Linked DNA regions of Oryctolagus cuniculus. The protein of the gene in region 1 purifies or fractionates together with the protein of each later gene. This does not show direct contact. Links are inferred from orthologs where the notes say so. Each region holds a gene or a part of one and is shown in the gene's direction. Other genes may lie near its edges.

Evidence for each region.
Region 2: the proteins of PPP1R7 (region 1) and SH2D4A purify together in Homo sapiens (affinity purification with mass spectrometry; 3 studies listed by BioGRID and IntAct, counting the BioPlex papers as one, with this or other methods). This does not show direct contact. The link is inferred for Oryctolagus cuniculus from reciprocal best matches to the Homo sapiens genes PPP1R7 and SH2D4A.

The regions. Positions count from the first base shown.
Region 1 is NC_091434.1:527,612-531,510, reverse strand, and holds the start of PPP1R7 (protein phosphatase 1 regulatory subunit 7), read left to right. Parts: upstream 1-1,430; 5' UTR 1,431-1,850; coding exon 1,851-2,019; intron 2,020-2,404; exon of another isoform or gene 2,405-2,444; intron 2,445-3,899. UniProt on the Homo sapiens protein: Regulatory subunit of protein phosphatase 1.
Region 2 is NC_091439.1:3,498,165-3,502,063, reverse strand, and holds the start of SH2D4A (SH2 domain-containing protein 4A), read left to right. Parts: upstream 1-1,452; 5' UTR 1,453-1,609; intron 1,610-3,899. UniProt on the Homo sapiens protein: Inhibits estrogen-induced cell proliferation by competing with PLCG for binding to ESR1, blocking the effect of estrogen on PLCG and repressing estrogen-induced proliferation. May play a role in T-cell development and function.

The DNA.
Region 1 (3,899 bases):
TACCTCTTAGAACCTACCGAGCAGAAAAAGCAAACCAAGCTCCAGAAAGCTGAGCGGTGGGCCACTTCCCTTACAAGGCAAGCCGGAAGGTAAACACAGGGCTGAGAGCCGCTGCCTGCCGGGCCGGCATCCTGGGTCCCGGCTGCTCCACCACCAGTGCAGCTCCCTGCTGTGGCCTGGGGAAGCAGCGGGGACGGCCCAGCTGCCTGGGCCCCTGCACCCCCGTGGGAGACCTGGAGGAAGCTCCTGGCTCCTGGCTTCCGCCGGCCGGCTGGGGAATAAGTCAGCTGATGGAAGACAGACCTCTGTGTCTCTCCTCTCCGTGTGGAACGCCTCCAAACAAATAAATACCACCCCCTCCCCGAAGAAAAGCCCTAGCGCTGTCCAGACACATTGCCGGCAAAAGGAAAGAACCGGGAGGCGGGGGCAGGGAGGCGAACGCTGCTGCTACCTGGGGAGGCCGGGCCCAGGCCTCAGAGCCATCTGCGAGCCCTGCACTCCACAGCCACGGCGGGCCCGCGGGCAGAGCCCGGCTTCTCCCACCGCCCGCAGGCGCCAGCCAGGCCTGGGCTCCCAGGGCGGCATCGGGAGAGCTGAGCCCTGAGGCCACGGACAGAGGTCCAGCGACCGACGTGGACAGGCGCCCAGGGGGCCACACGCCTAGGACCAAGGTGACCAGGCCCAGCAACGTGGGACGAAGCCGGGCATGGGGAGAGGTCACAGCTACCTGGGCGAGAAAGGATGAGGTCTAAAGGGAAGCGGACCCAGCAGAGAACGCTGCACGCCGAGCTGGCCAGGCTGGCATCCCAAGCTGCCTGGGCTGGGGCCGGGGCGCCCGTGACAGCCCCACTCGGCCCGGGAAGACCGCCAGACAGCCTGCGCCCCGCACCCACGCGAGGGACCCGGGCCCGGCCGTCACGGCCATCTGCGGAGCCAACCAGCGCAAGGAAGACCGAGTGACCACAGTGTGCCCGGAGGCGTTACCAGCGTGCGGGGCCAGGGGCAAACGGCCAGAACCCCGCCGCCAGGCCGCGACCGGGAGAAAGAGCGGCGACGGCGCGCGGGCCGGGCCAGCGAGAGGGCTGCCGGTGCCCCTCGGCCCCGTGCGGGGGGACACAGGACCGACAACTACCGCCCCGGGACCGCGGGGCGCCCGCCTGCCCAGGCCCAGGGACCTCACCTAGGTTCGGCCACAGTCACACCGCCAAGATCTCCTCAGCCCGCGGGAAGGGAACCGACCCGCACTTCCAGCCTACCTGCCAATCGCAGAGCTACTCTCGTAGATTGACGGGCCCTACAGGCCAATCGCTAGCGCGGGAAGGCGGGACTAGGAGAGCCGGCGCCTAGAAGCCCGCGCTAACGGTTGCTAGGGACGCATTGGACACCCCCCTACGGTGCCTCGCAGGCGCCAAAAGAGATGGGAAAGAGGCACAGCCCCGGACACGTCTACGGGCGGCCTCGTCTTGAGGGCGGGAGTGCCCAGGCAGCTCCTTCACAGGCCCTGAGGCCCGAGGGGCAGGCGAGGCCGCGACGCCCTCCGTAGCCCGCAGCGAGCGAGCTGGACCTCTCGCACAGGCCAGGTCCGCGCAGGGACGCCAAGGGGAAGCCGTGGAACTGGCCTGCAGCTGCTGTACAGCCGGAGCCAAGGCCAGCATGCTCGTGGAACTGGCCCGCACCTGCCGCCCAGCGGCACGCCTATCCCCGGCGCGCAGACCAGCTCTGACTTCGTGAGTCCTGCTCTAACCCCAACGCGTTCTTTCCTAGCCTCTGACCTCCACACTCCTCGGCCTTGGCTGCCTTAAATTACCCGCCCTGGGAGGCGAGGCGGGAGGCAAGGAACTACAGCTCCCATGAGGCGCTGCGGCTGGGCGCCGGGATCCTATTGGCCGGACCCGCTCGGAGCCGCGAGCCCTGATTGGCTGCGCGGCCTGAGGCGACGAGTTCCGGAAAGGGGACGAGCAGCCAATATGGCGGCGGAGCGCGGCGCAGGGCAGCAACAGTCGCAGGAGATGATGGAGGGTGAGCGGCCCCTGCGGGCGGAGGCGAGGGCCCTGCGGGCGGGGGAGCAGCGGCCGGCACTGGCCTCTGGCCGGGAGGAGCTGGGCGGCCCGCTCCGGGCGACGGCCGGGCCTGCCGGGAGGGCTCCGACAGCCCCAGGTCAGGCGGGGCGGGGGAGGCTCGGACCCGGGGAAGCCCGGCCCGAGGGCGGCAGCGACCAGGAGGACCCCGCGGCGCGGGGGCGGGGGCGGGGACGGCGGCGGCGCGAGCCCAGTCGAGGTGACGGCTCCGTGCGAGGCGGGGGCTTCCCGAAGGCGGGCGGAAGCCTCGCCCGGAGCCCCGAGATGGACAGGCGAGAGAGCGGTGCCGGGGGCCCCCGAGGGACCCCCAGGCTGGGGGCTGGCACCTGCTGGAGTCTGCTCGTGGGTGTCTGCGCCGGGGCGTGGAAGGGGCCTCTCGCGAAAGCGAAGGTATCGTGGCGACACCGGCGTTCCAGAAGCCGGGGCCTGTTTTTAAGGGCACCGTGGTTACGAAAAAGACCCCATTCAGCCTTCTTCCGCCTGTACTTTGTTGGGAAAGATGCAGACTGTGTGTGTGTGTGTGTGTGTGCGCGCGCGCGCGTTAACACGGCACGTGCGCGTTGTATACATGCTTACGCAAGAACACTTCAGGAAGTTCGTGGAAAATGGGGTTAAAAAAGAAATGCATTTTGGTGCAAAAAAAATTTTTTTTTAAATTCATGCAGGCCATTTTCATGATAGGCATTTTCCGTGAGCTTTCTGAAGACTGCATTTCTTCAGAGCCAGAGATGGGGTGCAGATCTCTGGAGGGAGGGTGCTGGGCTCGGGGCGGGGTCGTGGAGAGCCCTGCCCGTCAGCCAGGTTGGGGACTGGTGAGTGCGTTCCGAAGACCGCAGGGAGGCACAGGTGCCAGGGAGTCTGACCCAGGGGCTGGAGGGCCTGGACGTCAGGACCCTTGGTAGCAGAAGGGCACCCTTTTGAAGCCCACCCCTGCGCCCTCGTGAGCTGTGCCCACGTCTTGGTGGGTGGCGGTCTGGACCCACACCCCCCCTCGTCTCGGTCCTGAGCCCCCCACTGCCCTCCTCGCTGGGGGTGCTGCTCCTGCTCCTCACCCACCCGGCCCCGCCCCAGCCCCCAGACTCTCACGCCCCTCCCGTCAGGCTGACGTTGACCGCAGTGTGCCCGTGTCTGCCGATGAATAATGCATTAGGCCCCCGGTTCCTGAGGTGCGGGCACGGTGCCAGCTCCCTGTACAGACGGGGAAGCCGAGGCCTGGAGAAAGCACTGGGAAGAGCCACTGGCATTCCAGAAACATCTTGGGGTGAACCGTGAGACCAGATCAGACCCTCCAGCGACAGGGAGCACTCACCTGGGCGGCTGCCCCGGCCCACGGTTACCGCGTGGGGGGCGAGGCGTGGGAGCTGGTGGAGATGGTTCCAGGAGGAGCTACTCAGTCCCAGTGCTTTCCTGGGGGTCACTTGGTGAGCAGGGCCAGGAGGCATGTGTGTGTGAGAGCCCCTGGCCGACGCCCCCGTCCCGTGTTGGGGCCCCAGACTCCCAGCTCCGAGAGGGTCAGCAATGCGGCGATGGGAAAGACTGATTCTCGACTGCCCACCGCTGCCTTGTTCTTTAACTCAGAAAGGCGCAGTCCCAGCCTTTACAGCTGTGGCCCCAGCGCTCTGTCTGGGACAGTTCATGGCACTCAGGCTGTCGGCTGTGTTCCCCGCCTTCTTCAGCCCCACCCACAGTCTGACGAGAGTCAGTGTTTATTTATTTATTTATTTTTAAGATTTACCTATTTATTTGAAAGTCAGAGTTACACACAGAGAAGAGAGGCATAGAGAGAGGTCTTCCATTCGTTGGTTCACTCCCCAACTGGCC
Region 2 (3,899 bases), on another chromosome or scaffold:
GCCGGCACACCAGGTTCTAGTCCCAGTCGGGGCGCCGGATGCTGTCCCAGTTGCTCCTCTTCCAGGCCAGCTCTCTGCTGTGGCTCGGGAGTGCAGTGGAGGGTGGCCCAGGTGCTTGGGCCCTGCACCCCATGGGAGACCAGGAGGAAGCACCTGGCTTCTGGCTTCGGATCAGCGCAGTGTGCTGGCCGCAGCATGCTGGCTGCAGTGGCCATTGGGGGTGAACCAACGGAAGAGGAAGACCTTTTTCTTTGTCTCTCCCTCTCTCACTGTCCACTCTGCCTGTCAAAAAAAAAAAAAAAAAAAAAAAAAAAAAAAAAAAAAAAGACAGAAGCTATAGGTGGGGCCAGTGTTGTGGCTCAGTGGCAGTCACCGCCTGAGATGCCAGCATCCCGTATCAGAGCTCCGCTTCTGATCCAGCTGCCTGTTAATGCGCCTGGGAAAGCAGCAGAAGATGGCCCTCAAGTACTTGGGTGGCTCCATTTGGGAGACTCAGATGGAGGTATAGGCTCCTGGCTTCAGCCTGACCCAACTCCAGCCACTGGGGAGTAAGTAAACCAGCAAATGGAAGATCTCTCCTTCCCCACCACATTCCCTCTCGCTCCCTCCCCCTATGCCTTTCAAATAAACAAGTATTTAAAAAGCCACAGGTGTTTTTTTAGTATAATCCTGGAAGTAATGCATCCTTACTTTTGCATTTCTGTGGGTCACCAGGAGCAACTCTGGGACCTCATGGGAAGGAAGCTACACAAGACTGTGGGTCGCAGGAGATGGGGATCATTGGGACTTGGAGGCCAGGTGACACAGGAGGCAAAACCCATAGCTTAGGTGTGACGCGGTTAGAAGCTGGAGTTTACAGTGTGTGGTGTGAACGAATGTGAGCCAATGTGTTTGCACAGTCAGCACCTTAAAGCAGAAATTCTATCTGCTAGAATGACCACTGCATCCCCAGGTGTTGTTTCCTGCCAATGCCTGGTTCTCTAACCTGCGGCTCCAAGCTCCCACTAACTGTGAGCACCTTCTGCAGCTGGGCATGGGGTGGGGTAGCAAGGGGACCTTGCTTCCCTGGCCTTCCTGAGCGGGCCAGGCAGGCTGCGTGGAGCACACCCGGGGCTCACGGCCACCTTTGCCCACACCTCTCCGGGGGAGGCCGCCGCTCTCCCCGCACACAACTCTGTAGACCACGGCCACCCCACCCGTGCTAGCTTCCTCCTGGCTTCTTTCCTTTGCTGCCCCTGTCGCCTCCACCATTCCTTTCCCGTCCCGCCGAGCCACACCTGTCCGCACAAGTGCCCGAGAAGAGACAAGGCAGAGCGGCGAGTCGCGGGGCGCGCGGGACCCGGCCGTGGGGGCTGAGCAGGGCCGCCCCCTGCAGGCCCCGCGCCGCGGCGTGCGTGCGCGGGAAGGCCCGCGGCCGAGCCCTCGCGCACCGCCCGGCCCGGCCGTCACTCAGCGGCCTGTGGGCGCGGCGGCGGCGGCGGCGGGGCGGGAGCTGGGCTCCGCCCGGGCCTCGGCGTCTCGCGCGCGCCAGCCCGCGCCTCCACCACAGCTCCCGGGGCCGCCCTGCTGGACGTGGCGTGCGCGCCGGCGAGCCCAGGGCCGCGCACAGGTGGGTGCTGAGGGCGGGGGTGGCCGGCGCGTGGGGCTGGGGTCGTGCGGTGTAGGGTGTCCGGTGTCCGGTGTCTGACGGAGCCGGCGGCCGGGTGCGCGGCGTCCCGGGGCGCCCTGAGAGGGAGGGCCCGAGGGCGCACAGGGGAGTCCGGGGCTTCCGGCGGGGTCACCCTCAGGGGCAGGGCCATGGGGACCCTCTGCGCCCCTAACTTTCCCGGGACGCCCTCACGTGGGGTCGCGGCGCCCAGCACCCCCAGCTGCTGTCCCCGTGCTCCCTCGAGGGGGCGCCTTGCAGGTTTTCTGTGTGGGTCGCCGCTGCCTTCCCGGGGGTCTCAGAGAAGCCGTGGGCGCTGCACCCTCTTTGCCCTTACCCCCTCCCCCAAGTGGCTTTTGGCTGCTTGTTGAATGGGAGTGACTTGGGCACACTTACTTTGCACTTGTGAGGTGAATTTAAAGAGTAAATACGTGGAAAGACATTAGGCGGGCAGCCACCTGGCGCGCAAGTGGGTGTTTCTGGGCAAATTCGTGGATGCGATCATTTCAAATTCCCGAGAATGGTGGCTCTTCACACACTTTACCAAAATGTGCTGGCGGCCCTGGCAATCCCGGTGAGCCTTAAAAACAGCCCTTTTGCAGGTGGTGGTGGTGGGGTGAGATAACTTGAATAAGATCTAAAAAAAACAGGGCGAGCTGTTTGGAAACAGTCATCCGCATTTTTAACGTGAGAGGTAAATCGTGCCCACCTCAATGTCGTGCCCACGCGGATTTCAGCGGTCTTCCAGGTCTTTGGGTTTGTTTAGGTCTGAGTCGTTAAAAGCAGGGTTGTGTTCTACAACAGTGACTGGGGAGAAAAGTGTGAGAGTCGGGTCAGATCCGCCCAGAAGCCCTGAAGAAACTGGTTTCGGGAATCAGCAGCGAGGGGGTGGGCTCCTGGCTGGTCACCCCTGCCTTTCAAGAGGGAAGTTCCGTTTTATTGGGTCCTGAGCAGCCGGAAGTTTCCTGCACTTGGTGTTATCAGACCAGGAGAGCCATTCGGGTGTGGATCAGTGCTGGCAACGTTTGTGCCCGGGGAAAAACCCCTGCTGAGTGGATTTCTCCATTCAGTTTCCTGTACCCTGGTTCTCCCTGGCTTTGTAGCCTTACGCTCGGTCATGCTACATGGTGCAGATTCATGCACACTGCATGGTTGGGGAAACTGAGTCCCAGGAAGCCCCACGTCCTCCAGCTCGGGAGAAGGAGGGTTGGGAGGCCAGGCAGGGGTCCCTGTGGGTTTCTGTGAGCACACCGTGGGCATCCCAAGCCTGGTGGGGTGAAGCTGCTTCACGCTGGTGTGAATGAACAGCTCACCCTCAGCTGGAAGTCGGCGCCTTCCCTGAGGGTGGGCTGGTTGACGGTCCTGCTGGAAACCCACGTGGGTGGCCGGAGGCAAAGCCAGGCCACATAAACATGGAAAGAGCTTGATGCCATCGCAGACGTGCCCTGAGTTCTGCACACGAGAGAGGGGCTGCACCGGCTGCCCTGTGGCTCCCAGCGCGTGTGGAAAACCAGCGGCTGGGGAGCGAGCAGGGCAGACAGTGCAGGCAGGTGGAAATCCTCCAGCACAGACAAGGAGCGCATGGCTGACAGCGCTGTCCATGCTGCCTCTCCTGGGTGCGGGTTTTCTTTCTTTCTTTTAAGATTGTTTATTTATTTGAGAGGCAGAGTTTCAGAGAGACATTAGAGAGAGAGGTCTTCCATCTGCTGGTTCATTCCCCAAATGGCCTCAGTGGCCAGAGTTGTGCCCATCTGAAGCCAGGAGCCAGGAGCTTCTTCCAGGTCTCCCACATGGGTGCAGGGGCCCAAGAACGTGGGCCATCTTCTACTGCTTTCCCAGGCCACCACAGAGAGCTGGATCGGAAGTGGAGCGGCCGGGATGCAAACCGGCTCCCATATGGGATGCCCGCACTGCAGGCGGAGGCTTGACCCCATGGGGTGTTTTCAAACCTGATCCCTTCTCCCCTAAAGCTCATCTGCTGTCCACAGGGGTGGGGCTTCGGCCCCTGAGCGACACCCGTCTTAGGCCCCTTTAGGTCATCGTTTCCCTTGCCGCAGGCCCGGATGGTGTCCTGACGGTTCGCCGAGATGAATTCAGAAACCAGGCCCCTGTGTTGGGCAGTCTAGCGGGGGGCAGACTTTCCTGCCAGATGGCCCGGCTCTGCACCTCCCAGCCGGTGACCTGGGCCCAGCTTCCTCCCTGAGAAGGGGTTGGTGATGGGTTCCCGGCAGATGAAGTGAGTCAGTGCATGCAG